Caenorhabditis elegans: one gene and its partners. The protein of the gene in region 2 interacts with the protein of the main gene of each other region in a pairwise test. Each region holds a gene or a part of one and is shown on either strand. Other genes may lie near its edges. The genes, in order: tsct-1, T07D4.2, cat-4 and dyc-1.

Evidence for each region.
Region 1: the proteins of T07D4.2 (region 2) and tsct-1 interact in a two-hybrid assay, tested with the Caenorhabditis elegans proteins (one large-scale study listed by BioGRID).
Region 3: the proteins of T07D4.2 (region 2) and cat-4 interact in a two-hybrid assay, tested with the Caenorhabditis elegans proteins (one large-scale study listed by BioGRID).
Region 4: the proteins of T07D4.2 (region 2) and dyc-1 interact in a two-hybrid assay, tested with the Caenorhabditis elegans proteins (one large-scale study listed by BioGRID).

Annotation. Positions count from the first base shown.
Region 1 is NC_003284.9:12,431,255-12,438,670, reverse strand, and holds the start of tsct-1 (Protein tsct-1), read right to left. Parts: upstream 4,575-7,416; 5' UTR 4,518-4,574; coding exon 4,500-4,517; intron 2,035-4,499; exon of another isoform or gene 1,968-2,034; intron 1,213-1,967; coding exon 1,029-1,212; intron 810-1,028; coding exon 641-809; intron 1-640.
Region 2 is NC_003280.10:8,868,182-8,877,609, forward strand, and holds T07D4.2 (UPF0046 protein T07D4.2), read right to left. Parts: upstream 5,762-9,428; 5' UTR 5,760-5,761; coding exon 5,719-5,759; intron 5,653-5,718; coding exon 5,625-5,652; intron 5,218-5,624; coding exon 5,127-5,217; intron 4,891-5,126; coding exon 4,766-4,890; intron 3,774-4,765; exon of another isoform or gene 3,767-3,773; coding exon of another isoform or gene 3,602-3,766; intron 3,090-3,601; coding exon 2,753-3,089; intron 2,698-2,752; coding exon 2,609-2,697; intron 2,566-2,608; coding exon 2,489-2,565; intron 2,285-2,488; coding exon 2,169-2,284; intron 2,124-2,168; coding exon 1,939-2,123; intron 1,807-1,938; coding exon 1,705-1,806; 3' UTR 1,368-1,704; downstream 1-1,367.
Region 3 is NC_003283.11:10,561,705-10,568,221, reverse strand, and holds cat-4 (GTP cyclohydrolase 1), read right to left. Parts: upstream 3,343-6,517; 5' UTR 3,309-3,342; coding exon 3,146-3,308; intron 2,579-3,145; coding exon 2,483-2,578; intron 2,436-2,482; coding exon 2,238-2,435; intron 2,180-2,237; coding exon 1,965-2,179; 3' UTR 1,783-1,964; downstream 1-1,782. Other genes in the region: vps-54 (Vacuolar protein sorting-associated protein 54), read left to right, coding at 1-721, 775-968, 1,013-1,418, 1,465-1,567; col-152 (Nematode cuticle collagen N-terminal domain-containing protein), read right to left, coding at 6,072-6,517. UniProt on the Caenorhabditis elegans protein: Involved in serotonin and dopamine biosynthesis that affects movement, mating behavior, foraging behavior, and cell migration.
Region 4 is NC_003284.9:14,046,139-14,053,328, reverse strand, and holds the start of dyc-1 (Dystrophin-like protein 1), read right to left. Parts: upstream 3,795-7,190; 5' UTR 3,658-3,794; intron 3,502-3,657; exon of another isoform or gene 3,481-3,501; intron 2,515-3,480; 5' UTR 2,502-2,514; coding exon 2,385-2,501; intron 2,165-2,384; coding exon 2,093-2,164; intron 1,557-2,092; coding exon 1,402-1,556; intron 1,357-1,401; coding exon 1,248-1,356; intron 1-1,247. UniProt on the Caenorhabditis elegans protein: Together with dys-1 and hlh-1, participates in a common muscular function.

The DNA of each region.
Region 1 (7,416 bases), on a different chromosome or scaffold from region 2:
GTTTTCTCTTTTTTCTACTCTCAGAATATATATCAGGAAGGAAATGTGTGGTCCCTTCCCGCTTTTAGCAGAAACAAAAATAAAAAACACAAACAAAGTACTTAAGCCGAAAAAATGACGTGCTGGAGTCATTTTCAAATTAAAAATTACGCTTACTTACATGAACATAACTGCAAAGGTAATCGGAAGAAATCGATATGACAGGAGGATAATACGGAGCGATTTGAAGAATGGGTAATTGCGTTTTTGACGTGTTTTTAAGGTCAATGTGTCTGATAGGGTATTTGAGAAGTAATGTGTTTACGACAAGGTGAAAAAGTAATAAAACCCCTTCAGTTTATTTCACTTCAAAGAAAAGAGAATTTCACTTTAAAAATCAGTGTTGCGAAAATAATAAAAATTCTAAATGCCTTTTAGTTACGCAAAAAAAGAAACGAAAGCAAAGAGTTCGTCTGAAACTCGATATTTTTTGGGTATTATTTTTTACTTGAAAGCCGCCCGCTTTTCAACGCCTTGCCAATTCTCCAGAGACTTTTCTAGCCACCTTTCAAAGTCTACTGACGCGCGCGCGCATTATCTCACGTGATTGCTTTGGATATTAAGATTTTAAATCTGGGTTTATTTATGTGAGATCACTCACCGCGGCTGACTTTTTTGTAGCACACGAATGCTGTCCGCCTCTTCTGCTCCGAGAATTGGAGCAGAGGTGACTGTTGTCGGCCGAGGGAATTTCTTTCGGACGGTGATCACATTGTTTTTGCTTGTTACGATCATCTTGTACTCGTCTTCTGGAGGATAATTTCCAAATTCTGAAAAAAATAAATTGTGTTTATTGTCCAGTTTATTTTTTTTTAATCAATAATTTTGAAAAAAGATTTTCACTGGTACTTCAACAACCTCAAACATTTTTTTAAAAACACGTACTAAAACACGTACTTCTATGCTCGGAATTTTGAACTGGTATCTAATAAATTTATTGATTTTCTTCTAAATTGATAAATTATTCGTTTTCAAGTAGTTAAACTAACCTCCCATTGCCGACCCAAATCTGGTATCAATCACTTTCCATCTGCCACGTGTAAACTCTCCTGGAACCGGAACAACTTGGAATTTCTTCTTCGGCTTGTCACAGTTTGCATTTGGAGGAACGACCTCAATCACAGATGCTTCATTGGAAGTAGTACTCATTATTATTGTGTTCTGTTGGAAAGCCTGAAAAGTTGAAAAAATAAGTAATAAATAGACAATAAAACATTTTAGCATTTTAGAAGTAGTGTATAAAACAAGAAAATCTGTACTTTCACAAACAAGAATTAAAATATACATTTGTTCTACTAAAGATAAATTGAAACTTTTAGATTTTTGGTAAAATTATGATGACTTATAACAGATTCAAATACTTTTTTTCAATTAACAGTAAGATTAACGGTTTTTAGTCGTTTGGACACATAGTTAATCAAGAAAAATTTGCATATATTTGAAAAGCGTATAATTACATCTTTGTACACATCGTTTAACTAATGCCATTAGAACCTATGAAATTAAAAAAAGTTGATGACTAATTAGCAAAATTTGATAACATTTTTGCGCCGTGGACAAGACAGATATGAACAAAAGTTACAACGATTTGACCAAAATAGATTTGAATTAATGTATTTTGGGAAACAAAACGTACGACATTTTTATATTAAAAAAAACATCTTTCGCCTTTAATTTGGTTAGGTGAGCAAATTAAAAATTGTTTTGAAGAAAAATGGCAAAGATAAGTTTCAAAAAATATGCTGGATTTTTTATCGCATTAAAAATCACAATCGTTGACTGATTACACTCAAGAACCCTTATTCGAAATTTCTGTTTCAAATTTGAACAAAAAACGAAAAGATAAATTGGTCGCAACATGCAGCAAATGATTGATGAACTGCTGTGGGAGACATGAATTGACACGTAATTTCAATTTTCTCGAAAAAGTGCTCGCGGTGCTGAGGAACAGCTGTACTTGCTCAAGTGTGATGGCAAGTGTGTCAAGTAAATAGACACGACGGCGCAACTTTTGGCACGGAAACTTTGGAGTTTTTTTTCTGTTTTTTTGTGTTACTTTGTCATCTGAGTAAACCCATGAGACTTTGTTTTTTTTTCAGGAAAGAAAGGAACGCTTAGTTTCTCTCTCTCTCTAAATGGTGCAGACAGTTATTGAATCATATTTTTTTAATAGTTTGAGAACGCTGTAATTGGAAAAGGAATTTATGAAAGTTTGAAGTACATCAAGGACAACTAACAACAGTTCAAGAAAGCCCAATAACTTTATGAAAGCACAGTGCAAAATCTGCAAGAACTTTTGTGACGACATATTTTCTTAACTTAAAAAAGCATTTATTTTTCAAGTTTTCCGCTTTGTGAAAAATTGTTGAAAACTGTTTTTTTTAATTTCAATGGCAGTGCTTTTTCTACTAGTTTGGAAGGAAAAAAAGAGAAAGCCAATTTTCGTAACTAGAAAAATGAAAAACTTGGTAGCTTTTCATACCTTTTTTCAAATTCTTAGAGCTTAAAACTCAAGTCTTACAAATAATCCTACATAAACCTTTGCCAAAAAAGCTAACGTTCAATGAATATGCAACAAGAAGTCAGCTTTTTGCAAGAAGAAAAAAAAATAGATGAGCTAAGAAAAACGCGTATTTTCTCTAACAAAGCCACCTAGACATGGCGCAATAACGTCTATTTCAGATACAAATAATACGAGATTATGACTGTGACATTCCAGTGAATTGTAAGATTTCTGAGATTATATTTGAAGTCATTGTCAAAAAGAAAAATATATAATTCTTCTGAATTATTATTTCAGAGAGAAAGATTTTGAGGGAGTTTTAAACAAGACACTGCGATTTCTCGTTTTCAGTCACTAGAAATGTCACAGTTTATAAGAGCAAAATAGAAAACGAATGAAAAATTGAATGCTGTACATTTCTCTTGCTCTATACTGGCTGCTACCCCACTTTTTCAATCACACTGTACGCTTCTCTGTGTGCCCAGACAAAACCATTGAAAACTACTGCTCTGCATAGCCCGCAAAGCAGGAAAGCTATTTTTCAATCGCAAATAAAACGAAAAAAGCGCATGGGAGCGCGAGATAGAATGCAATCTTTTTTTGAAACTTCGATTCTGTAGTAATTATGCAAGTTGTGGTTGCAACAATGGTGCTCACAAAAGAGTTGCGAAGAGTAAATATGAAAAGGGCACATGAATAGCGATCAAATCAAATGACGAACTGATAAAAAAGATAATATGTAGTTGTCATGTGTACTCTTGAGCGAACGTGCAAAAGAAAATTGGACACATAACATTCTGAACTGGAGTTTGAAGGCGGAGAAGATCCAAAAAGGAAATTGTTTTTGAACAAATTAGCTTTGAAGCTTTCTCTATTATTCTTGCATGCAAGACTAATTTTCAATTGGTCCGTAGGGATGTAAGACTAGGCCTGTGGAGTGGGTCGCCCCATTTTTTGGGTCGGTCGGGTCGGGGTAGGAGTCGGAAATTCTAATATCATGAGAGTGGTTTTGTATCATTTGGCTCTATATGCTCTCCTCATTTTTCAAACAGAAGTTCAATTTAAATGTTACGCTTGGAAAAGAGCAGCACACCACACTTTTGGCTCATTGTTGATTGGTGTTTTTCATCGCGTAAAAACTGGAAATTTAATTGAATACTTTTGGCACTCGTATTCGGAGGGTCTCATTGACCTTTAACTTTGTTTTCTGCAAAAGTCTCACAATGTAGGTGTTTCAAATTACGTTGCATTTGATTTTTTAACGACATGAAAAAATTTCAAGATTATACTTGAAATTTATGTGTTCAAAAATGTTACTAGAATAAATTATTTTCAATTTTTGAAAGAAAATGTTCCACATTCTTTATACATATCTTTGTACATATGGCAACTAAACGTTTGCGAAATTCCTAACATTGAACAAGACAAATTATTTTCAAATTAAATTGATATGCTGTTGAAGGAAAAATACGTAAAAATAAGAAATTCTAATTTTAGTTATTGTTTATTCTTATATTTTATGAACGCAAAAAGCACTTGATTAAACAACAGAAATCAAAAAGTTAAAAAGAAAAGTTGCTGTTCAGACTGACGGGGGTACGGATAATTCATGCAAATCGGTGTCATTCTAAAAATCGATATGTGGAATTGAATCAGAAAGGAAATCGTCGAAAAAATTACAGTTGACTCACGATTTCTGTATTTTAGAGTTTGTTTCGCGGCAGTCACGCGTTTTACATTGGCGACGGTGAAGAAGCAAAACGAAAGGACAACAAAATTGCGTAGAGTTTCTCTTTCTCAACCAACCATCAAAAACGTTTAGATTTGGAAAACGTGCTGGAGATAAACAAAACACATACATAAACACGAGGTCATTGACAACGAAGAGCCGGTTGTTTGATCAGGCAGATCATAAGGAGACAAGGTCATGTGGTTTATCTTAAAAATGAACACTTACTGCGGCAAAGATGAACATTCTCAGTGACAGGATCCCTTGCTGCGGTCTCTTTTAGCTGTAACTACCCTGAAACTTTAAGTTATTTGTATCTTGTAAAACCAACGTTATTGACAATAGAGAGCAAAAAAAGTTGTGAAGATATAAACGCAAACCATAAGAAGGAGTAACGGTTCTGCTTTTTATTTGAGTAAAAAATTTTAAAAATTGAGGTTCCGCAGGAATCTTAAATTTAGGCCACTTGTCCGCGGAGCGACTGGAAAAAATATTATTATTTAATCACAACCTCATTTTGAAATTTTGTGTCGTTTATGAAAAATTCGCTAGTTTAATCTCAATTTCTACAACAGGGTAAAGTTGATAAAATTTTAGAATTTTGCTATATTGAGTATTTTTTTGTTAAACTTTTCAACCGTTAAAAAGAAAAAGAAAAAACACTTTTGTGAAATTTTCAAGAAGTTTCATCCTGAGAACAAATTTGCAAAGTTGAATGCAAAATTTGATTTTTTTTATCACTTTTAAACTTGCGTTGAACTTACGTGAAACTATCTTATATTAATGATTGATTGGTAAATTCACAAAAATTATGCCCCATGTTACAGATCTTGTGAAAATTAATTAATGTGTGAACACATATTTTTAAAGTTCAAGAAGTTTTTTAATTGAAATTGTGAACAAAACCACGTGATGCATTTGCGGACGCACAGAGAAATTTGATATTCACTAGGAACATTAAGTATGTTTATTTTTTCGTTTTTTTGTATGTTTTAAATATTCGCAACAAAAATTTCAATTGTTTTAATTATAACATTTATGATATTTGCAAAGTATTTCATCTGATTAAGAGTAAAAATAATTTCTGTTATTTTCAAATATCATAAATAAGAAAATAAATGAGAATGGCAAGATGAAATATGAGGAAAAACGGGTTTGTTGTAACATAAATAATGCTCATCGCACATGTGCAAATACATAAAATACGTAAACGATGAGATAAAAAAATTGAATTTCTCGAACGTCTCTATGTGTATCTAATCCGATAAACACTAGTTTTAGGGAGTTATGAGGATGTTTTTCGTCTTGTTTTCTATTTTATTTTTAAAGATTTTATTTTTAATTATAATTTTAAAGAATGTCAAAGTGTAGAAAAACCCAATCAACAAATGAGCAGAAAAATTAAATGAGCACTCAATGTCCTTTTTTGGAAGAGAGCAGATGGTAGTTAAAAGCTAAAAAGACGCGGAACCCTTTTTTTCAAATGTGTTCCTCTGTGACGGCTGGCTTTTATGGGTTGAATGAAAGAATGATGGTGTTAGGGTACCACCCGACACAAAACAAAACAGAGCTGTTCTGCAAGATCAAAATGACGTTTTTTCAAAAATATATGCCAATTTTCTTAAAACTAAAAAAGAACAAAACTGATACAAGAATTGAAATTCCCAATGGGGTAAAATTCGAATGGGATGAGAAGAGGAAATGGGCGGAGGAAGGGGGCAAAAACGTTAATGAAATTTTGTTTCAAAGTTTTGTTTGCCCAAGGCTATTTTCTACTTTTTACATTACTTCAAAAATTGTAATTTCAAAACAAAAGTGGACTGGAAAAAATTAAAAAATAAAAATATTCCAATGGCTGCGCTGCAAACAAACAATTGGATGCTTCCAGATTTTCCAAATTTGCTGAAAACAGAATCGACAGGTATTTTGGGCAAATCTTCCTGCACAAATTGGGAATTTAACCTTGGAGCTCAGAGAAAAATGATCTACATGCAAATGTATCTATATATATTATATATATATATATATATATCTAGAGAATTTATCAAAGTATTAATTTGGCAATGTTGAAAATAGGTAGAGAAAAATCACAATCCCAACTATTTTTTTTCGAATATGGGTGTAATTGTTCTTGGTATATATTGAATAACGTTTTACACTTTACAAGTACTATCTCTTACATAAAAAATAAAGGGGAAAATGATTAAGCTACATCAAAAGTTCGAGAAAAAGTAACTAGTGTAACAAGTACGGGCTGTGCAACAAATTATTCGAAAAAAACTGCATTCAACTAAACATATTCGATATTTATACATCACTTTAACAACTTCCTGTCTGTCCTCCAGATTATCTTACTTTGAAGAAAAAAGAGCAGCAGTCTACTAAAACAAAGCGAATGTTAAATAATTGAAAACTGTGTCACACTTCACTCAATGATTCGTGTTCCTTGTATGACACTTTTTATGGGGTAAAGTTTTTGTGATGAACACAGCATGACAAATAACAGATGTATGTACCATGTAGCCAATCCTATAGAAAGCAGACAGAAGGCCAAATGGAAACTAGGGTGACTAGAGAAGGTGTTATAACTTTATGCGAAACAATGAATCAGAATTCAGTGACGAGTGCAAACCAACTGATTTAATATTCTATTTTTGGGTTGATTGTGACAATAAACACGGAAAAATTGGAGAGAAATTTTAAAAATAGTAAGCATCATTTTCCGACTCAGAATGCAACATTTCTAGTGGGTGACAATCGCATGGTCACAGTACACATCACAGAAAAATTTAAATCTAAATTATTGAAAAACAAACATCTAATACAAGAATTATAGTGCAGCTCAAAAAGTTCTTCGAAAAACAAAACTCACTAGAAAAGTGAAACCTTTCAAAGCAATGACTGAAGAACACATTTCGGCCCTTTTTGTCTCGCTCTCCCGTCCACAATTTTTTTCTGCAAAAGTTTGGTTTCCGCTGTCGGATTCTCTAAATCCTAAGCATATATAAAGCTGTTCTGGCTGACGAGATTGAAAAAAATGAACAGCGCTGTTGGGAAAACAAAGAACAAAAGTTCAAAACGATACAGGGTTTGTTAATTTTAAATTTATTCCTCTATAAATCTTGAGTTATGATGTAATTAAAAT
Region 2 (9,428 bases):
GTTTTCCATTTGAAGAGGCGTTTATTTAAGAGCGTAACTCAAAATTTTAATGAACATGCCATCATTTTATGAAAATCGAAAACAAAAACGAAAAAGAAGCAGCGCATATTTGGATATTGACGAGGGGAACGAGTGTATGTAAATGACCCCCTTTGAAAAAGCAATAATAGAATATTCAGAAAACAAAGCTTTCCTTCTGAAGTCACTAGGATGCAAACTGGGAATCGTAACATATTTTTCCATAAAAGAAGGTAATACTTTAACATCAAACATCTCTGAACGCATGCCTTGTTTGCACAAAGATGCGAACTTTTCAGAGGAAATGTTTCTTCCTTGTCGTCTAAAACATTCGAAGATCCATATTTGAGTAATCTATTCATGTGTTTTCTTGTCAAACAGCCCACATGGTTTTTTAGTTCAGATTTTTTTATGAGAGTGATGTGAACGTTTGTGATGAAAAGTTTAAGAATACGTGAGGAGGCTGAACATTTTCAAGGGTAAACAACAAGTTCCGAGTTTACTCAAACTTTGATTCTACCAGTGAAATTGAAGTTCTGTACTGGGTCAATTTCATAAATTTTTTTAAACCGCATAACTACGGATATTTATAAATAATAAATCCGTTTTTTTTCATTTCACTAAAAGAAAAGAATATCACAAATTTTTGTAGAAAATCCTAGAAGACTTTTAAACTGCTTCAAATAATTTTTCCAGAAATGTTCTCTCAAACTTTCGATTCCTAGCTAGAGGTGAAACACATTTTTCACCTGTTTTTGGTACCTAGAACCGAAACTTTTATTTTAAATTTAGATGATCTCAAATCTCACTATGAGTCATTTCTCATTTGTGATTCATTTCGGAAAAAATTGCCAAAGAATTTTCATTATTCCTAATGGATTGGTTCCTTTTTCTATTCTATCATATATTCTAGGTCAGAGATTAATTTCTACGTGCAACTGAATGTGGCGCTTGTTAGCTTTTGTGGTGATTTAAAACTAAAACCTATGTGTATTCTCAACTGACACGGTGGATACTGTCTGACGTAAGAAAAATATTGTATCTAAAAAATTACAGACTATATGAAACAACTCTGGGTGGAAATCATTCTGACTAGATTTCACCCTGTTTCAGATATTTCTGGTCTAGAAATAATGAATTTCAGTAAAATCGAAAAAAGTCTAATGTTGATGATATCTCTGAGAAAAGACATCGATGAATAACAAAAGAGATTTGTCTGTGTGGAGCAAGAAGCCGGCACTGCCGGAACCGCACCACACATGGCCAATATCTGATTTCAGAGGGCAAAAGAGGAGGTTGCAGCATAATTTGGTATTGAATTTCATAATGTTTGACTCGAAAGAGGCTCACAAATTGGAATGTTTTATTGCTGGTTAGCGGGAGCAATTTTGGTGAAAGAAGAAGAATTGGAAGACGAGAAGAAGCAGTTGCAGAAGCTGTCGCAGCAGAAGCACAATCAACCTTCTCTTGCTCTTTTTGTGGTGCTGTTGACTGCGCATCGAGTTCATAAAGACTCATTTCCGGATGGGATATTATTTTGTTCTTATGGGGTTGGAGGAGGGCTCAATGAGTGAGAAAAATAGATGATGATGGTCGTGGTGTGGAAAAAGAGCAAAAAAAATTAAAAAGTGGTGGTATAATTATAACTACAAAATGACACAGAGGTGACAGTGAGAGGAATTTAATTTATTTCTTCTTTTGGAATCTTTTATGAATTTTCTTCACATTTTGAATGTAGAATTGTTTGGTGTGAGGGTGCACTGGGATATCGAATATTACTGGCTCGTTCTGAAAATTTTTAACGATGAAATTGTCAAATTTAATAATCATGGATAGTCTAAATTTGTGTGCTGCTTGAATAAAGTCGTCCCAGAGTCATGCCCAATTTTTCTCAATAAGTCAAAATTCACGAATGATCACCTTTAAATCCAAATTTTCATTACACATGCAGCAGTTAATGAACTTTGTATATCCATCAGTTGTGCATCCGTAGCCCTCATGAATGTGTCCAAAAACGTGATACTTTGGTCGAACCCGCTTGAAAACTGTGTTCAACAACTCGGCACATCCCATTCTCTGTCCATTGTTCATCATATCGCCGTGTCCTGCACAAAATTTGTGTTTTACTATTTGTGGTACTTTGAACTTACCAAGTGGAGGTGTATGAGTTAAAAGCACGTCAACGCCCGCCGGGATCAGGTTCCATTTGTCCAATAGTTGTTGTCCACGAGAGAGATTGAATGCCCAATTGTCTACTTTTGGTTGCCTGCAATTTTTGAAATTGTGCTTTGATACAATGGGTTCAATATGGAACTCATAGAATTATGCTGTGAGAAAGAATATTCAATTCGAACTTATATTTTTTATTGATCTACAAAATATATAATGATAATACTTGTCGAAGGTGACAATTGTTTCAAATTTCGACTTGAATCTACCACAATTTTTTCAGAAAACTTGCAATCCTTACCATGGCGTTCCATAAATTGTGATTCCAAACAGTTCGATTACATTATCCTCCAAATAAATTGCATTTGATAACAAATCCTACAAAAAATTGTATACTTTCATAAATTGAAATCATGCTTACTTTCGCTGAAATTCCACCCTTTGAATCAGAATGAATTGCTGATAACAATGCTTGTTTCAGTGCCATTTCTTTTGGTTCAGACTCTTGTTCTGCAAATTTTGTTGTGGTGATTGATCGTTAATGGTTTATTGGAGTTGAACTTACTCAATTTCAAAAATGTGTCGTCAAATGTGCATTCGTGATTTCCACCTATCACCACTTTGTAAGAGTATTTCAGTTTTCCAAGTAACTTATTAAAATTGTGAACTTCATTTGGAAGACCGCATGATGTGAAGTCTCCAGCCACGAGGAGAACATCTCCAGGTGGGAGTTTTGATATATCAAATTGTTCTCCATGTGTACATCCAATACATACAAATCTCACATGATCTGGTTTTACTGGAGTATCAAGTCTCATCTGACGAACTGGTTTCACTGGTCTTTTTTCTTTCAGCATTTCCCATGCAAGTGTTGGATCTTCTGTGTATTGATGAAGAGATACCTGAAAATAAATGTATTGTTCTGAAGGAGAAGCTTGCGGAGCAATTAATTTCCCATTCATCTTGTTGTTAACGACATTAAACACATGGCTTGTGTGGCTGTTGTCAACCTTTGACCGGATATAACAATACAATTAAAATTTTCAAATTATTATACTGTGAAAATATAGCATTAAAAATAAACATTGCTATACATAGGGTTTAAAACACAAACTGGGCCAAACGGCATGCAAAAAACGTACCGGTCTTTTATGAATTTTAGTCTCTGAATACCAACTTTTTATAGAATCTTGAGATTTTCTGTGTATCCTTAGGAAATACATTGAAGTATTAGTGGTAGAACTAAATAAATCAGGAAATTGAGACTCAAGTTTTTTACTTCTTTTTTTCAATTTCTGTTCGTACTAATAACAAAATGGAAGCAATTTTTTGACAAATGTTGGCCCCCCATGTAATTTGTTGTTAACAAGCTTGAACTGACAACAGCTGGCGACTAAAGACTCTTTGAACTTACAGTTCTTAACTCTCGAACAAGTGATTCTCGTCGATTTGGAGATGTTCCACTTATAGGTCCACCAATCAGAGAAAGACGTCTCTGTCGGTTACGGTATTCATCTTTAATAGACTGATCCCCAAATATAGAAGTTGTTCCGAACCGATTGCTCGACTTGGAGAACATTTTCAGGCTGTGTGAACAATTGATAAGAAAGAAACAAATGAAGAAATAGAGCCGAAAAGATTGAATGGAGAAGTAAGATTCAAAAGATTTATGGCGAGTATCTGAAGTGTGTCAAAAACATTGACTGCACTCAAATGGTTTTCGATCTAACGATGAGGTCACGAGGTGACAGGAAATGGGATGGGAGGCCAAAAGTTGCAAACGAGACATCCGATATATGTATGTGCTGGTCACTTTTTGTTCCTTATCTTTTTGAAGGATACATCAAACTAAATGCAGAAGGATATTCAGTTACCCGTTCTTTTTCTGTTAATAGTTAGTTCTCTTTTCTTATTTTTTAAATATATGTATACTTGGGAAAGCAGTGGTTTTCGGCTGAAACTAGATTGGAAAGATTGGACGAATATGAAACTAACTGCCGGTCGCCTGGACAAGTTACCATAATACGAATGCTCTGCGAGTTTTTGAAATGTTTCAAAATACTGAAGGTTTGAGAGAAAGTCTGAAAGAATGGGAGCCGCGTTTTCTCATAATTTTTCACATTCAGAAAACTGTGAATAACCTCGAGCAACAATGGAAATCGAGCAAAATGTTTTCTTCAAAGGAAGAAAAATAAAAAATTACTGAGAAAATTTCGTAGTCAAAAAAATCCCCGAAAAGCAACTAAAAATTACGAAAAAAAAAGGTCGGTAACTCGGTAAAAATGAAACTGATAGGCTGGCACATCTCAGGGAAAGGTGAGAAAATGTTCGTCAGTGGATCATCTGATGAATAGTGAATCAAAGACGACCATCATCGGCTCTCAGATATCTTTTCTTTCTTTTTTTCGTTTAAATCAAAAAAGTAGAGACTCCAACGTCAGTTGGTATGCCGACTCAATATGAGATAGATTGTTTCTTCTTTTCATCAGATTGGTATCATGCTCGAACGCATTTATCATTTTATCTTTCATTTTGTTTTTCCAATTGTTGATGGGAGCTAACAACATAGAAAACCTACCGGATTTGACAGCTTCCGTCGGGTTTTTTTGTCCATTGGAATGCCAGATGCAATTGAACCGCGGCGACTTGGCGAAGCATTTCCGAGTTCAAAACTGTCGACGATTATTGAGCCGGAACTTCTTCCTGATAAAGATAGTTATGACAACTTAGAAATAGACGGAAGTATTCTTTTTTTTCTGAGAATCAATCTGAATTGTTCTCTGGTTTTTTTTATAAAGTTAATAACTTATTTTAAAAGAAGAACATTGAAGCTGCCATCGTGGTATTCACACGTTATTCAACCTTTACTACACATTTTGCTGTTTATTCTCATTTTTTACGAGAATCGGGAGAGAGGCAAAAAGAAATTATGAACTCACTTCTATCTCTGTTGAATCCAATCAATTCCTGATCTTCTATCATCGGCTGCAAATATGATGCAGCCCGGTTTCGCGAATGGAACATCATTTTCTGAAATAAATATATTATGTTAAAATATGAATGTTTTGAAGTGGAAGTATCATATAAATAGAGCAAATTATTATTTGTAGCTTCGAGGTTCGAGGACTACTACCAAAAATGTTAAGGAACTGAGACATAAATCTTTTACAAATACAGTTTTTAAACGGAATGGTGATACACTTTATCTATCAACTTCTGTTTGAGAATATAGCTCCATAAAATCAGGTTGTAGTGAAGAAAAAATCAGGACAAGTGACCAAAGCACGGGAATGGTTCTCAAAGGTACCCGCCAATGAAACCTTCCATCTTCTTCTTCCCTCCAGCATTTCCATCTTATCCATCTTAACCCCCTCCCCTTCTTCCTCTTTTTTCCATTTGATCAGAGTTCTATCCTTCTTCAATACCAATTGGCTCACCTCATCTTGTGGTACAGGAGCGGAGCTTCTGAAAACACAAAGATTGAAACATAAAACAAACAATGAGTGCAGCTACAAAAAATCATTGACGAACCTTCGATTGAGTGACACTTTGAGCAATGCAGGACTCAGCATTCCTGCAAAAATCTCGATGATTTTTTGGGTCGACAAGCAAGAAGAAACGACAACTTTTTGAGAAGTGACAAAGTGAAGTGAAGGATGACACGAAAGTTCGGGAATGTTCGGAATGAGATAAGATGTGTCTGGATCATGGAATTAGGTACTTAAACACGGACAAAGCAATTCAGCATTGAGTGCAGAATTTTCTTGAGCAAATGAGTAGTTTAATGAGATCAACTCTCATTTAAAGATGTGATTAAAAAGATCAAGGGTTTTTGTTGCAAAGAAGTGAGACATAGGATTCGTGACGTAGTTGAATATAGCTGTTGGCAATGACATAATTGGTAAAGTTTATACTAACAGAGCAAATAACATTTATCAAGATATTTAAAATACAGTAGACCGTGTTTTCTCAATAGAAACGCCACTCATACCTTGCACAAGTTTGGACCAGCTCTTGCTAATGTCGTATTGTTTTTCAAATCTTTATTGCGGTACAATGTATCTCGAGAGACGGCAAGGGTTGAGTGCCACCAGGTCACAAGCTGATAAGTGTGCAACTGAGAAAAAGTACAACATATGCCAAACGTATCACATAAATCACATAGAAATTATCTACTCACATGTTCTATTATGAGAAAATTAATGCAGTGGAATAGGAAAATATAAGTAAACTCTAAACTGTAGAAATAAAGTTTCTGAACACTTGGAAAAGGTTAAAAATTGGAGCCTAGTTTTTATTGAGATTTCATCCAAACTGTAGCGATTCAGAATATATTTTTGTATTGCCCTAGTATAAGTAAAGACTAATTACAAAAACTACTATAAGTATTTACAAATAGATACTGTTACGAAGGTCCAGTAGCCAATAATCTACCTCTAAACTCATTCAGAAGTTCTAATTGTTTTATTTTTAGTCATTCAATTGATCTTTCCATCATTATCTTATTAACTATTTCCATTTCTATTTCAAGTTATATGTAGTGATATGCGAATTATAAGTGAACAAATTCAAGCTAAAATTCTGAAAAAATATAATGCGAAACTAACGTAATACTAGTATCATAGAAATAAGAAAGCAAAGCTGAAAACATTGCAAAGAGTAAAGTGACTGGTTCTTCTTCTGCTTCTGTTTTTTGAACAGCTCATCAGGTGTTGATTTACTCACCACCAGTAGCAACCACTTTGTGCACACAATGGCTCCACCTTCATACCTTCCTCCCCCACCTCATCGTTCTCAGTCTCACCACAAAGACTTGTCATAACTCATCAATAAACTTTTTTAACACCCCACAACGGGTCACAATAAGGGATCAAAGTTGAGCCGAAGAGTCGACTGAAAGAGAAGAGTCTGGTGGAAAGAGATAATAATGATGAGTGGTGCACAAAAAACAGGGAAGATCTGATGAAGAAGGTCGATGTATTACGAGTGATGGATTAGGATTTGATGAGGGCGGATCGAGTTGTACTCTCAATTAATTTGTCGACATCAATCAATTTGAAATCTTGAACTTGATTGAATTGGTGGAGCTGGGAGATATTATTGAAGGGTACTTATGGTAAAAATTCAAAGATCCTTGACTAGTTTGTAGGTCACAAGATGCAATAGTACACAGGAACCGAGTTGTTTGGATGTGTTCTTGACAAAACTAGTGAACTTTATATTTAGGATTTAATGAAATAATATATTTAAAGTGCGTCAAAGCCAGAAATATTTGGAAAGCTGGTAAAGCTGAGCCAATTATGAATTTCAGATAAAAGGGATAGCATTTAGGGGAAACTTCATGAAAGCTGTTAAAACAATTTGGTTAGTTTTTAGAAGGAAGTAGATTGCGCACGTTTCTCAGGGGCAAAAATTGTCAGAAAGTTGCACCCAAATGCCAAAACTGTATGCCTTCCACGAAAAAGGCATCCGGTGCAATGTGGCTCCGCTCAAATAAATCTTCTCTACGACAAATAAGTCTTCGGTTATTATAAAGGCGAGGTACACTTTGTAGGCACGTAAGCAGACAGCAATTTTGGTCATTACTAGTAATTTAAAGCTGTAATTAAAATTAAAAATTTTTTAAATATGCAGTCCCTAGAACACATGTAATTTACCTATTATAAAAAAACCAAATGAATTTTTGAGATAAAGGAGAACTGAGAAATATGAAGAATTGAGATTATTTTAAACATCGAAAATTAAAAATACTATTCCTAGACCCGCAGTAATCTGAAATATCTCGTGCTTTTTAATATTGAGGGTGGTGTAAATATGTCTCAATATTTTATTTTTATTGATGATGATTCTTGAAATGTGTACTTGATGATTGGTCCGTTAAATATTAGTGAACCTCGGGAGTTTTTTTCCAGGATTTTAATTATGACTCCATTACCTTAAGTTTAAATCTAAAATGCATCCGAATGATTCCTGATCACACATTCATTTTTCTTGATTTCCGTTTTCTTTCCGTACACCTCTATCAGCCTTTTCTTCTCGATTAACCTTTCCACAATAAATCAAGCACTCCCAGGCAGCTGTCTTTTTGTCGGCACATCCCCACAAAAACCTTGTTTTCGTCGCTGAAACTGTGGCCGAATGCTTTTAAAATAGAAAGAGACGAGGAACATTTTGGAAGGGGGTGAGCAAAACACGGAGAGGATGAACAGATGGCTGCAACATTTTTATGAATCCATCGATTGAATTGTTCCGTGTCCGAATAATAATTTTGGGTATTTCTTAACTTGAATATTATCGAATAAAGAAATTTTATATTTATTTTTGCCACCTAACATTATCACATATCTATAGATGCAAAATTTTATGATTTTAGCTCCAAAAATACGGTACCCGGTCTCAACATGAATAAGTTTTGTTGAATGCGAAAAGGTGTACGCCTTTAGTTTTCAGATTTTATCTTCTTTTTTTTTAATTTCTAGAAATTTATTCACTATGAAATGATTATAACTTATTATGAACAAGTATGAGTTCAACTCTCCCACACGGACATGATCTCTCGCTCTCTGGTAAAAGTTCCAGCAACATTAAAAATGATTTGCCGGTGTTTTCCTATTCTGCTGTAATCATGAGTAGGGATCGCTAGATACCAATGATCCTGTGCGTAGTTATAAAAAATCCCACCGAAGGGACATCTCCAAAATTTCCGTTTCCCTGGACTCCACGAGTGGAGATGCGGGACCAGAGTTTTATTGGTACACTGGCGAACCTATAAAAAATCCCACCGAAGGGACATCTCCAAAAATGTTGGCGGGCACCCGAAGGTACCCAAGCCAGGGCTTTCACTCTGGCACCCGGAGCGATCGTAGTCTGACTCGTAGTCAGTCTTCAATGGCCCCCGAAAGTGAGAGTTTTCCCGAGAGGAATCTTCCTTTTCGGCTGGTACTCTCTGGACCCGGGAGTGTTCGTAGTTCGACTCAAAGCCAGCCCACAATGACGCCCGACAGTGAGTTTTGCCTTTCGGCCGGTACTCCCTCAACCCGGGAATGTTCACAGTCTGACTCAAAGCCAGTCCAAAATGATCCCCGAAAGTGAGTTGTGCCTATTCGGCCGGTACTCCCTGAACCCGGTAGCGATCGTAGTCTGACTCATACATAGTCAGTCCACAATGGCCACCGAAATGTGAGTTTCGCCTTTCGGCCGGTACCCCCATAGGACCGTCACCAGGGTGTTAAGGCTGGTGA
Region 3 (6,517 bases), on a different chromosome or scaffold from region 2:
ATCGACATGGCTCTGAAGATATTATAGTTGAGAGAATCGAAGAAGCAAAAGATATTCACGAATCTGAGTCTGACGATGAAGTTGGTACAACTTTTTCCAAATCAGCTAGTTCAGGAGGATTCTCCGTCGGTGGTTCGGCTTTATCCTCTAACGCGTCAGCTACCACTCTTCTTTCGATTGAAGTCAGATCAGAAGCCTTTTTACGACACGTGCTCCCATTGATCGCAGAATTCGGTCATCAATGTGCGCAACAACGGATTTCACGATTGCTCATTGCTCGGGCCAAAAATGCATCAGTGACAGAAGCTACTACACCTACCCAACTATCTGAATGCATTAAACTCGTTAAAGAATTTCAATCCAAGTGTGACAAGGAAGGATGGTATTCCACTCAGAATCAAAAAGTTGGAGGTCTTGGAAGATCTGTTAACAAGCTTTCTATGGATTACATTGAAAAATTCCATGCAGCTCGAAAGATTCGTATTGGAAATATGCTTGACACAGAACTTTGGAAAGCGACTGATGTTTCGATTGTGGATCAGAACATTGTCGACATGGCGATGGAAACGGGCCAATTAAGAAACACAAAGCGAATAGATGATGGTCCAATAAAAAAATCATTCAAAAGAACAGAAAGCGCTGTGACAATTGATTCAACAACATCTACTTCAAATCAAATTCAAGGTGTAATTGTTGATGAAGAGAACTATGTTGTTGTTGGGTTTGTTTCAAATTTTGGATTTAGGATTACGAATATTAATATTTTAATTTCAGATCATCAATAACAATGATCCAGCTCCTTTCTGACTACTGTGAAGCCATATCTGAAATGCCATCATTTTCCCAAGACTGGAATTCGCGAGTTGTGGAATTACTGAAAACATTTAACAGTCGGTGTTGTCAATTGATTTTAGGTGCAGGTGCCCTACAATTGGTTGGATTAAAGACTATATCTGTTCGAAATTTAGGTATTGCTCTAAAGTTTTACCGTAAAAAGTGTTCTTTTTTCCAGCACTCGCAGGTCGATCACTCGAGTTAGTATGCCGCTTCATTCCGATGGTTCATGATGAGATGGACAGAGTTCTTCCTGAAAATCGAAAAAGTCTGCTTCGGTACTTCAAGCAGGTTGAAAGTGAATACCGCGATCACGTCAACGAAATTGCTGCCAAATTAATAAGTGTAATAGCTCATTATACAACAAATTGTCTTGGAATGTGGGATGTGAAAGGAGTGATTCCATCGCCAGAATTTCAACAAATTTGTCGCCATATGCTGAAATTCCACAATGGACTGGTTGGCATCATGCCAAGAGATCAGATCGAGGCGTTGTTCCGTCAAGTACACGAAAACTTTAAAGCCAACTTACGAGAACACGTCACTGGAATGGGTATCACACCTCATGACCCTTTAAAATACGGGTAAGAATAAATTACTGAAATTTCAACTATAATGTACTATTTTCAGATATGTCACAAAAGATTACATGTTTTATCAACAAAATGTGAAAAACATGGAAAGTTGCCGTAATTTGGAGCTCGAGTCGCTTAATGACATTATGTTTGAATAGGACTTTTCTTTGTAAAATATTTATTTAATTTTCAATCTGGTTTATTTCTTGTGTATGATTGTGATTGTTTGACTAATTACGGTGGCTTTTATTTCACGCTTCTTCTGTAAACTTCCCCAATTCACTGGTCCTTCATTCCTAATTTTTTAGTTTGTGCTTCTGGGCTAGCTTTATCACTTTCATTTCCCAGTTAATTGTTTTTGTTTTTATTTATCTGGTATTTAGTAATTTATTGCATGTACAATAAAAGCATATTACAGTATCCAGGCAATGAACATGTTGTATGAATTTAAAAAGCTGAAGCATAAGATGTTAGTAGATTCACATGGAAAGTTATGAAAAGTTAGTAACAGTTAAAACCCAAAAAAACAAGTAAAAAAGGAAATGACTAGAATTTTTAGCGTTTGTTGATAAGATTAAGGAATTCTTCGCGAGTCTTTGGATCGTCACGGAATACTCCCAACATGCAGGATGTTGTGGTGGAAGCATTGATCTTTTGAACTCCTCTCATTACCATACACATGTGACTAGCTTCAATAACAACTGCAACTCCGGATGGTTGTACAGCTTGAACCATTGCGGTGGCAATTTGCTTTGTAAGACGTTCTTGGACTGAAATATTTGAACGTTTAGGTTAGGTTCCAATCAAAAATGTAATTTCTCAATTTACCTTGAAGTCTTCTGCTGAACATCTCGACTATTCTTGCCAACTTGGACAGACCAAGAACCTTCTTGTTTGGAATGTATCCAATATGAACTTTTCCCATAAATGGAACTAAATGATGCTCACAAAGGGAGAACATTTCAATATCTTTCACAATAACCATCTCATCGTGATCCTCGTCGAATACTGCCTCGTTGAGGAGCTCTGAAAAATGAAACTTTGAGCTTTAACGTTGTATTGCTATAACTGACCATCAAGTTGATCATCGTATCCCTTTGTGAATGCCATCATTGCTTTGGCAGCACGTTCTGGAGTTTTCAGAAGTCCCTGACGATTGATGTCTTCTCCTGAATTCCCAAAATCAGTCAACGTGGGAAAATGTATTTTGTTTTCATTTTTTCCCTTATAATCAACGGACACAACCTATTTTTTTCTGATTTATGTTATAGATATATCAATTGAAATCACAAGTTCCTGATGATGTGCTAGGGTACCTTGATTGCGTGATGTAATAGATTACAATTTGTCATGAGTCTTTAAATTAAAACAATTTTCGATCTTGATTTTTGATTTGAGAGTGGAATATATTGAACTGAACTTCCTTCCAGACAATAACAACTATCAGTTATAGATCATCGACTTTCAAAACATCTTGGTCAAATTTATATTTGGGAAAATATTTATCAATATTCTTTGAGTCACTGATAATGAATAAATGCTAAAACATTATAATCTCTAGAATGAATCAAAAAGTGTGTTGAAATGTTTATCGAAACCAAAGTTTTCCTAATTCTGCTGACGTAAACAGTTGACAGTACGTTTTCAGAACTCTATAATCTATTCTTAAACAGCTTATTTTAAATTTGTTGTTGATCGACTAATACTTTCCGAACCAAAGAATCACATGAACTCACCGACATGTTGAATGATGCTCTGATAGGCATTGCACATTGATTTCAAATGATCTTCCTTTGGAATCGTTCCGTTTCTTTTCTTCATCTCAACTTTATCGTCTTCGGATCCAACACTTGCGGCGTCAGATGACAAAAATCCGCTTTCGTTCTCAATTCTGGACATTTTGATATTATGATGTTGATAGAGTGGGTAAAGCCTGAAAACATTGATTGAGTAAGTGAGTGAAATAAGGTGATATTGAAAATGAGCCGTGGGTAAATCTTAAGAAAGCTGAGAAAGCGTAGGCGACAAAAAGAAAGGATAGACATTCAAATAATTGCCGGATGAAACCGAATATGTGCAATGTCCAAGCAAGAAAGAAGAAATTACGAAAAAAAAAGGTACAACACGTCATGTATTATGAAAGGTATTCTGGGAAAAAATAGGCAAAATGAAGGGACAGAAGGAAATCAATCTAGTCGAATGGATAGACTTCATCATCTTTTCCCACTTATGTGAAAAAATGAGAAAAAAAGAATAAGAAAATAGCAAAAAATCGAAAAAGAAACGGAAGACGTCGTCCCATACATCAATCGTTTTCCGCCATTCCTTCATGGCAGCACTTCTAGGTATTCAGGAAAATGTGGAGGAAGAATAATTTATTTATGCAAACAAAAGGAACATGTAAAAAGAAAATGAAACCGATTGATTAGGTGGATAGGCGCAACAAGAAAAGAAAAAGTGGACTGGTCTGAGGAGATACAGAGAGAAGGATCGTAAATCAGCGAGGAATGATATAGACCTTCACTCACGTGGACTTCTAGTTCACTATCAGTTTTGTTGCCGAAACTTTGGCAGATTAATATCTACAAGTTACTCTTTCATGCACTACAATCGAAAAAATTGAGAAACTTTATATTCAAAACGAAATTTGGAATTTATCAAACTTCACATATATTTCTCACGAAATTCATCAAATGGTCCTCCTGGGAAGTTATTTAAAAACAATAATAGGATCACATGTGGTAGAATATACTCCTCCTATTTTTAAAACTCATCACACCTAATAATATTACTCATCGAAACAACCAATCTGAAAAATAAACTAGATTCTGGCAAAAAAATTACTAATGAGTTTAGTACAACACAGAAACCGTGTTAAACTCTCATATATACTGCCAACAGCCACAAAAATAAAATACAATTTCTAATATTTCACCATGTCAAAAAAGTAGGACCTCAAATTTGGGAACGATTTCATTCAACAGTTTCGGTTTTCAAAAATTGTAAAATTTTAACTACTTTCCTTTCTAAGTCATCATCAGGTGGAAAAATGAGAAAGTAAAGAAAGAAAATGAAAAGAATTGAGGGGTCTAAAGAAGTACACTCACTTTCTTCTATTCTTCTACTTAACTACCTACATAAGAATTTCGTTGAAACAGTTAAAGCTAGTAGAAAGATCAAACCCACGCCTTTTTTTTCCCGGCAGACTCGATGTGTTTTGATGACATTCACACGAAATGACGAGAACGGTTCCAAAATCAGCTGAAGATGAGGGAAGAGGCGTTTCGAACTTGTAAATGTTTTCCTAGTTTTCTAGTTCTTTTTCATCAGATATCGTTTCTTATATTTGCGATTTCTGGGCTGATTGGGTACAAGTTGGGAGGAGGTGATGACGAATGAAAACAAGAAAACTTGAAATACTATTTTGTTATGATCAGGATTTTTTGGGTTATTCGAAGTCTCTCATAACTTTTGGTTCTTCAGAGTTAGAGATTGAGAATCAAAAAGAACTATTTGAAAAAACTGAGCTATTGTCAATATTCTTGAAAAGTAAAAAATTAAAATCGAAAGTTGTTACTGAAAAGTACTGCCAAATAATACCGTAACACTCGTAGAGGAAGTTCCCCGCAATTTATTAGGTTGAACTATAAATAAGATAAGAGCATAAGCAAAATGCCGCCGCTAATGATGTACTACCAATTGAAGCCGCAATTTATATGGAGTTTATAATCATTGCATGATAAATTGGTTCAGGAACTTTGAATTGTCACCTTTGAGATAAGATCGTGCACAAAAGGAGTTTGCGGGATTAATTAAGTGACGGCGATTACGTCAGAAACATAGAGAACAAGTAACATAGAGAGTGTCCTAAGGAATACGGTTTTCTGACTGGTGATGATTTAGTGAACATCATCTTGCACAATTTTTTAGACTAGAATGTTCAATGGCGCGGTTGAAAGAGTCAATAGATTATGAACTGGATTATGTGATTTGGAATTATTTATTTTCCTGATAAGAATCACTTCAAACTTTTATTACCGCAAGTTTGACTTTATTAGACCAAACTCTACAGGCTTACCGTATATTCTCTATTAGTGCTGCACTAATTTTTGGGTTTTTTTTTTGAATGCATCACTTTTAAAAACTGCAGTACTACTTTAGAATGCAGAACTAATTTTCGAGCGCCTCTGTTCAATTGAAGGTCATTAGCATTTAGTTACGAAAGGTCACCTTTTTGAGCATAAATTAATTAAGATTGTGGGTTTTCGTATTTCAATTATGTATGTAAATAAACAACGAATCTTGTACAATTATACAAAACACTCAACAAAATGTCAAAAATATTTTGACTGTTGATATAAAAAGAGGTGCATTTCAGAAAAACCCCGTTAAAAGCATCATAAATTAATAATCATATATATTAGGAAAACAAATAAACAGAAAGTATCCATCTTCTTCTCTTTTCTTATAGAATAACGATAAACTTTATATTACTTTAAACAATGGTCAACTATGTCAATTTATGTTACAATTTCCATCTGCAACATGCAACCTTTACAAATTTTTTTGCTGTTAACTTTTATTCAATTATAAAAACCAACAAGCCAATAACCAACTAGAAAATAGAATAACATAATTTATATATATATATATGTATAAAACTTATATTCCCTCGTATTGACGTGCCGGTGGCATTGGTTCCACTCCGTAAGTTCTCTCCGGGCATGGACAATATCCAGCATCTAGGCCTGGCATTCCATTTTCTCCTTTTTGTCCCGCTGGTCCAATTGGACCTGTTTGACCTTCTTTTCCCTGCAATCCGGCTTCTCCGCGAGTTCCAGGTTTTCCATTTTCTCCATCAACTCCTGGGTGTCCATTGTTACCAGCGTTTCCCGTTTCACCGACTGGTCCAGTAGGTCCAGGGTGACCAGATCCTCTCTGTCCATTCTTTCCTGGCAAGCCGGGTTTTCCAGCAGCCCCTTGGTTTCCTGCACCTCCTTGATCTCCTGGTGCACCAACCTCTCCAGGAGCACCTGGATTTCCATCGGCGCCATTCTCTCCTGGTCGACCATTAATTCCAACTGGCCCAGAAACTCCATCGGGCCCTG
Region 4 (7,190 bases), on a different chromosome or scaffold from region 2:
GTTTGTATTTTTCTCTGAGAAAAATTTCAAAATTTTATTTTTTGTTCAAATTTCATTCGACTTACGGCTGGTTTAAAAGTGAAGAAAAAACATGTTAATCATGTTAATATAAAAAAGAAATCAATTAAAAAAAATTCAATTTTAAGGCGTTTCAATAATCCACACATAAGTCTCCCAAAAACCTTATTTTGCACTAAAAACGTCAGATATGCTGGGCACCAAAACTTGCAGCTACTTTTCATACTTTTCATACAAGGTCTGCGAACACGATACTTGAAAAAGTAAAAAAACTAGATTTTGAAAAGCAGACAACTGGTCTCCGCCAACACGATAAAGAACATGTATGTTTCGTTGATGAGCTCCGAAAAGTTTTCGCTGTCTGTCTGTTCAAAAACATGAAGAACATTGAGCACGTTATGTGAACCCAACAAAAACGTCTAGGATAGGCCGAGTGTAACCTGGAAGTGGAAGCCAGTGAATGATGTTGTGTAATTTACGATGGCAGAAAACAATGTTATTGATTTTTGTTCTTTTTTTTAAGCCAAAATATTGCTTTTTTGATCCATACATTTTATTTTCTTGCTTTCAAATGAAGTATAATCTGTGAAAATACTTAGGATTGCATGGTAATTCTGATTATCATTTGTTCTTTCTTCGATAATTTTTGTTCAAAACGTTTGAAAAATACTTATTGCCACAAAAAATTTGAATGAGTCTTAGAGCTTATTATCATCTTAAATCACGAAATCTTCAGCAAGGTCTGTAGTTTTTTAAATGAAAATTGCATTTTCTTGATAGTAGAAAAATGTTTGGGTAGTGTGGACAAGTGTGTAGACAATTCAATTTTTCAAATTGAGGGGCATTTACAGAATTACAAGAGTAGTATCGCCAATATGAAAAAAAAATTTTTGAGTCGGATAATATTCTAAATTGTGAACAAAATCAGTTTTTCCGCCACTTCTCGAAAATGGGAAGTTTCGGAAATGTAACACCTGTGGGAACTGATTAACAACGCGTTGGGAAATTGTATAGTGATTAAACATCGGTATTCATTTCTATAAATATTATTCAAAAAAAATTCATGTAATACATACTTAATTGAAAACCACATAAATTTTCAAATTCGATAGTTTCACCATATACAAAAAATTCAACATTTTAACTTTTTCGACGCTCTTTCTAAAAAAAAATTTGATCACAGTACTACTTCAATAATAATAATAATAATATTGAAAATAATGACTAACCTTTTTAGAACACTTAAATACATTGCATTTAAATGTGTTACTAGCTCCATCCCGTGCAATGTAGGAAAATATTTGAAGATCTTGAGAATCATGTGACACGTAGAATATCCTTCAAAATTTTTACAATAACAATTTTACAGAAATTTAACAATACCTGTATATTGGGTGAAACATGACAAGTAATTTAGATTCATCCCAAGAGAGACCTTTCTCTTTCTGTTTCTTCCGCTGAAGAACAACTTTGACACCATCGACGGATACGGTAATGTCGACCGGGCGTTTTTTGATACCACGAGCTTTGAATTCGTACTGAAAATGGTTTTATTCAATAATCAAGGAATTAGGAAAATAGATTTTCAAAAGCGTTTTCTTCAAACACTTCAATTTGGTTGTTTAAGAAAAAGTCAGTCAAAATCAACAAATATGACACGGTCAAATTCAAATTCACATCGATGATATGCTTGTTCAAATATTGATTGCTTATGTTTCCTTAATCAACAAAAAAAGTTTTAGATACGACTATAGGTTTTAGGTAAAAAAGTATCAGCTTTTTTGCAGTGTGGCAGATTATTCAATCAACGCCTAGCATTTACTGACTTTAATATTGATTGATTTAACAAACGAAAAAATTGTAGAGAAGAAAACACTAGCAAGTGTAGAATTTGTAAAAAATTCAATAAATTATGATCTTTCAAAGTATTACGATTCTATTTTCTACACTACTAATAATAATGTTGCAACCATGTAATTATACAAATTTTAGATTATACTACTAATTTTCAATTGCAAATTTCAGCTCATTTTGAATATATCTCTATTTGCGAGTTTTTATAAAAAAAACTCACTCGAACTCGTCGCATCGCCGCCACAATCTCGATTCTCGTCCCGGGTCTAGGAATTTCCATGCTTCCGACATACTGCAAAAACCCTTTTTGGATTAAATCCAGTAGTTTTGTTTTTGTTTTCTTTTTGAAAGAAAAAAAAAACTAAACTTCCCACTATGATTAAATTTGCAAACGCGTTAGGACCAAACTTGAAGACAATCTAATCTACACCCTCCGGGCTTTTCAGAATATTCAATGTTCGTTTAAACAAGATTAGCGTTGTACAAACATTCGAATACATCTTTTCACAAACCTTTGCTTCGAAATGAATACCATGCTGATAAGCGAGTTCGTTATGGAGTGGAATACGGCAGTCGTAGACATCGTCGGCGATGATATCGTACGGACCATGCTTTTTCCGCACAGGCATTATATCCTCACCTCTGTAAAATATGAAATAATGATGAAATGGTGGAAATGTTAGTAAAAAAGTATTAAAGAAAAACGGTTAGAGAAGTAAAACAAGATGTTAGATGGTTTCAGCAATAAAAAACATGGGTGTTTTGAAGAAAGTGAATTTTAAACAATAATCAAAAACAAAGTGGTATTAGACACTCGGCAAATCGCTGTTAGTACGGGAGGACGTATGTCGATTACAAATTCCTTGTTATAAACATAACATGTTTAAAAAAACTGAATGAATGTCAATTTTAATAAAGTACAGAGCCTCTGGTTTGTAAATGTTTTTTATTAATAATATTACTGGATTGCGTTTCCGTAATAATACATCTTTTTTGCACTTTCTACTTGACCGAAATGTTTTCGTGCAGATGAAAATAATGAAAATTAAAATATTTACATGATACTACGCAAGACAACATTTTATCAGAAAGAAAATTTGGACTTTAAAACTATTTTCACGCAGAAAAGGCCATGAGGTTTCAAAACCAATTTTTTGTTAGGTTAAGATAGGGCTGGTAATCCAGAGGACTGGCCTTTCCGAATGTACTGATTTTCGGACAATCGGGCGTTCGGTTTTGAACATTCGTGGATTTATGGGAGCGTATATCCCGACATTTTTTTGTGTTCCGCGTCTCATTGTGATAATGCGTGCGTTTCTATAGTAAGCAGCGGAACCCAGAAAATGTCAGGATGTAAGCTCCCCTAATTCCTGTGATAAAAAAAATTTCCACCTTATTTTGCCACCCATGGTGACTCCATGTGGGCGGACGTCCAGATGGCCAGCCCTAGGTGGAAAAATAACAAAAGTTGAAGTAGTGCCAGAATGTTATTTATGCTGAAAATCAGCAGAAAAAGAGATAACATTTTCAACAATTTTCCGAATGTATTGATATTTTAGTCCATGTTTTAGGTACACTATTAGAAATTCATTTTAAAAATTACTATGCTTTCAACTGTAAATTAACAAAGATTTTTTGTGCACTTTGAAGAAAATTGTTAGTTTCATATTCTGACTTTTCAGCCCCTAAACAACTTTCCTACTGATGCTACTCCGTTTCTAAATGGACAATAAACACTTGTTAAACATTTCTGAAAAAAAACGCTCACTCAAAACCGTATCAAACCTTCAACTGCATATCGAGTATATCAGCTACCATGAGCCAGTATACTACGAAGCAATTGTCCGATATCAGGACAATTTGGATATCGTATTGAAACTGGTGGTGACGTTGGAAAACGTTGGGTGAAGAGGTGAGGTTCGCTGAAAACTCAGTGATTAAGCTGCTAAAAATGACAAAAAGGGCACACTATGAAAAAAGAGCAAACGAGGAAAAATAATTGAGTGATGATGAGAAATGATGAGGAACAATGGGCCAAGTAGATGGGGGAGAGAGGAAATGAAAGAAGAAATGAATAACTCATGCGGCAACGCAATTTTAAACACTAAAACCAAATATTTTTGCTTCTGATCATTTTCCTGGAGGAAAAACGGATAAGGGAGTATTGAACAAAAGAGCAAATGCAGAGAAAAGTGTAGGTAGTGTAGCTAAAAGGACTTTTAAGGAAAGTGGACTGACCAAAAGTCCGTCCGCAAATTGAATATGAGAATGGAAACAGGAGGAAAACGGAAGCCGATGTTAAGAAGGAGGGAAAGAAGTTTAGGATGATGGGGGGGGGGGGGGGGGGGGGGACAGAAGAAATAGAAGAAGTTGCGAGCCGAACAAAACTGGAAATTGGTTGGTTGGGAGACCGATGAGCGAGGTTCCCTGGAGACGTTTTCAAATAGGAATATAAAGATTGAAGATGTGTTGAGAGAAAAAAATAAAATAAAAACGCAAAAAAAGAGGAGGGGCGCCTACAAAACGGCTACAAATATGATTGTCAGTGCGGGGGAAAGATATTTCTACTTTCATGGATTTGAAATGAATAAATGTAATGTTATATATATTATACAATACAAAACTTGTGTTACTGTATTTTTCAAGTAGTTCCATGCTTTCATATGAATTTTTAAAATTACCATTATTACTAACACAGCACGTGATGGCAAGCGGTCTCATTACGATTTGATTTACAAAAAAGGCGACGTCAGCACACCTTCAAAAATGCCAAAAAAATCTGTCGAGAAGTCTGCGTCTAGATCCCCGCACATTCCGTAGATCTACGTAGATCAAACCAAAATGGGACACTCTGACACCAAGTGACACAACTCTTATAAACTCGTTTCTCTGATTGATTAGTTGAAAAAAGCTGATAGTATTCACTACAAAAGCAATGATACAAGGAAAATTAGTGCAATATCAAACATTTCGGATTGGTACAAGTAGAATGGCATACCAAACCATTATCGCAATGCATCTAAAAATAATTCAAAAAAAAATTAATGTCAGTTGAATTTCCAACATTGTGACAAAAAATGTGGTGTTAATTATTTTACGTGGTTTCGTATACTGAAAAACTGTATTTATTTACATGTTGATGTCAATGTGAAACATGATAAAAACAAAAAAAAAGCTTCACTATTTAGGAAAACTATATGAATTAAAAAATTACACATAGTTTGCGATTGGGAAACAAATTTCAAAAAAAAGGAAACCATACTTTTTTTTAGATATTGGCAGTAGCATAATGCACTAGAGCAAATATACGAAGTTATATTCTAGAAATTTGAAAGAAACGCAACAAAAATCAAGATGAAAGCATGCAAGTTTTGCTCTTTATATATCGTCTCATCACCCGTTCTTCTGCGACATTGGAAGCAATTATCCACACTATCACTCAGTTCCTAATCGATTTGAAAATAGAAAAAAAAATCGGAAAATGGAGGACAAAACAGGGGCAAAAAGAGAAAAGCGGTCGGCGGGGAAAAGAAAACGAAGAAGCGGTTGCGTGTGTGCCGTACTCTCTCATCGTCTTGTCTTGCGCAATTAGTTGTGATTTTAGGAAGCATGCGTGTGCATGTATGGGTGCACTTGTAGCTGATTGACTTATGCGCATCTCCTTCTTTGATAGAATTGCCGAGTAGAAGAGTTTAGATTTGTTGGAGTGATGGAGAGGAGTCACCGCTCCTCCTCATCCTATTCCTCCACATCTTCTTTTTTATTGTGACTGACTTTGTCGGGAGCCTTGCTCCAAAAACTTACTCTATCTTACTCTATCTACCACATCTTCGTCTTCTTGCGTTGGCCTTTTTCCGCCAACATTTTTGATGTAATGTGTCTTCGGAAGGCGTCTGAATAGAAAACGAAGCAGAGTTGCATGTTTTTCGGCAGTTCTTGGATTAACTTTTGTGGATTGGAATGTTTGTCAGAATTAGATGTGGAACCATCAACTTCAAAAACATTTGGGCCAAGATCATGTTGTGTAATTTAAAAATAACAAAATTATACTTATACTGAAAGAGTTCCAGTTGTGATAGCCAAATTCAAAATAGTCTAGCCCTGCATTGTAAGTACATATAATACGATGAGGCCAGGATAGACCTTTAGTTTTCAGTTTTTGCAGCGTCAATGTTATATATCATATTTAAAAAAATGTTACAGTTTGACACCAGAATTTTAATTTTCAGAAAACGGTTAATTGTGCAAATACCTATTACAATCTAAATGAATCAAATATTGAGGGTATTTATATTTTATTAAACATTGAAGGTTAAGCACCAAAATCTGAGGCTTTTATTTTTTAGACCCAAAATTGCACAAAAATTATCGAATTTTGTAATGAGACGTATTGAAAATTCTGGAAAAAAAGCTCATTTTCAGCTAAAATTAATTTTTTTTCCCAACTTCTCGGCGTCGCAGCGTCTGGAACTCAATGTTAATTAAATTATCACTCTTTGATAAATATTGTGGTGTTTAATTAGGCGTTTATTATATGGGTTAAAAAAATTGTATTTTGTCGTGCTCACAATATAAAATGCTGCACAAATACATTTTAAACTTTTTTAAAATAAAGAAATACAATGACCGAGCTCCAAATTGATTCAACTATCGCAGTTTCAAGAATATTATTCAAAAAACCTGTTTTTCGAGAATTTCATATTTCAACCAGTTTCAGAAAAAAAAATCTGAGAACAACGAAATTTGGATGACAAGAAAAAAAAGAAGGAAAAAGCGCACAGAAGGAAACAGAGGAATAACAATCTAAACAAGAAGACGTCGTTGATTAGCTACTTGAAAAACGTTCAAGAGTCCATACGAAATTTCATTTCCAGAATGTACGGCATGTGACTCTCGAAAGATTGGCACCAAAAGACAGAAATTGTTAAAAAGAGGAAGGAAAATGAGCATTTTCAATTTTCACAAAGACAATAGTGTCAAGACTCGCGTTTCGTATGTGCAATTGACATTGTTCAGTACTAATATGGATGTTAACCAAAAAACATGGATCTGTGTTTTTTTGAAAATTATTTTAGGCTGAACGGATATTAGGAAGCTGCTACAATTTATTCGAAAAGCTGTAATTTTTAAGTTGATAGTTCAATTGAAAACGCCTCGTGTATAAAACTTGCACTGAAGGTGTCCTTTGGAGAAATTGAAATTTAGCCAACTACGATTTTTCTTGCAAGAAATGATTTTTCTGAAAATAATTTTCGAACTCATGTTATTAAACCTTTTATACAAATTTCAGTTTGTTTAAAAGCTTTCGTTAACTGATG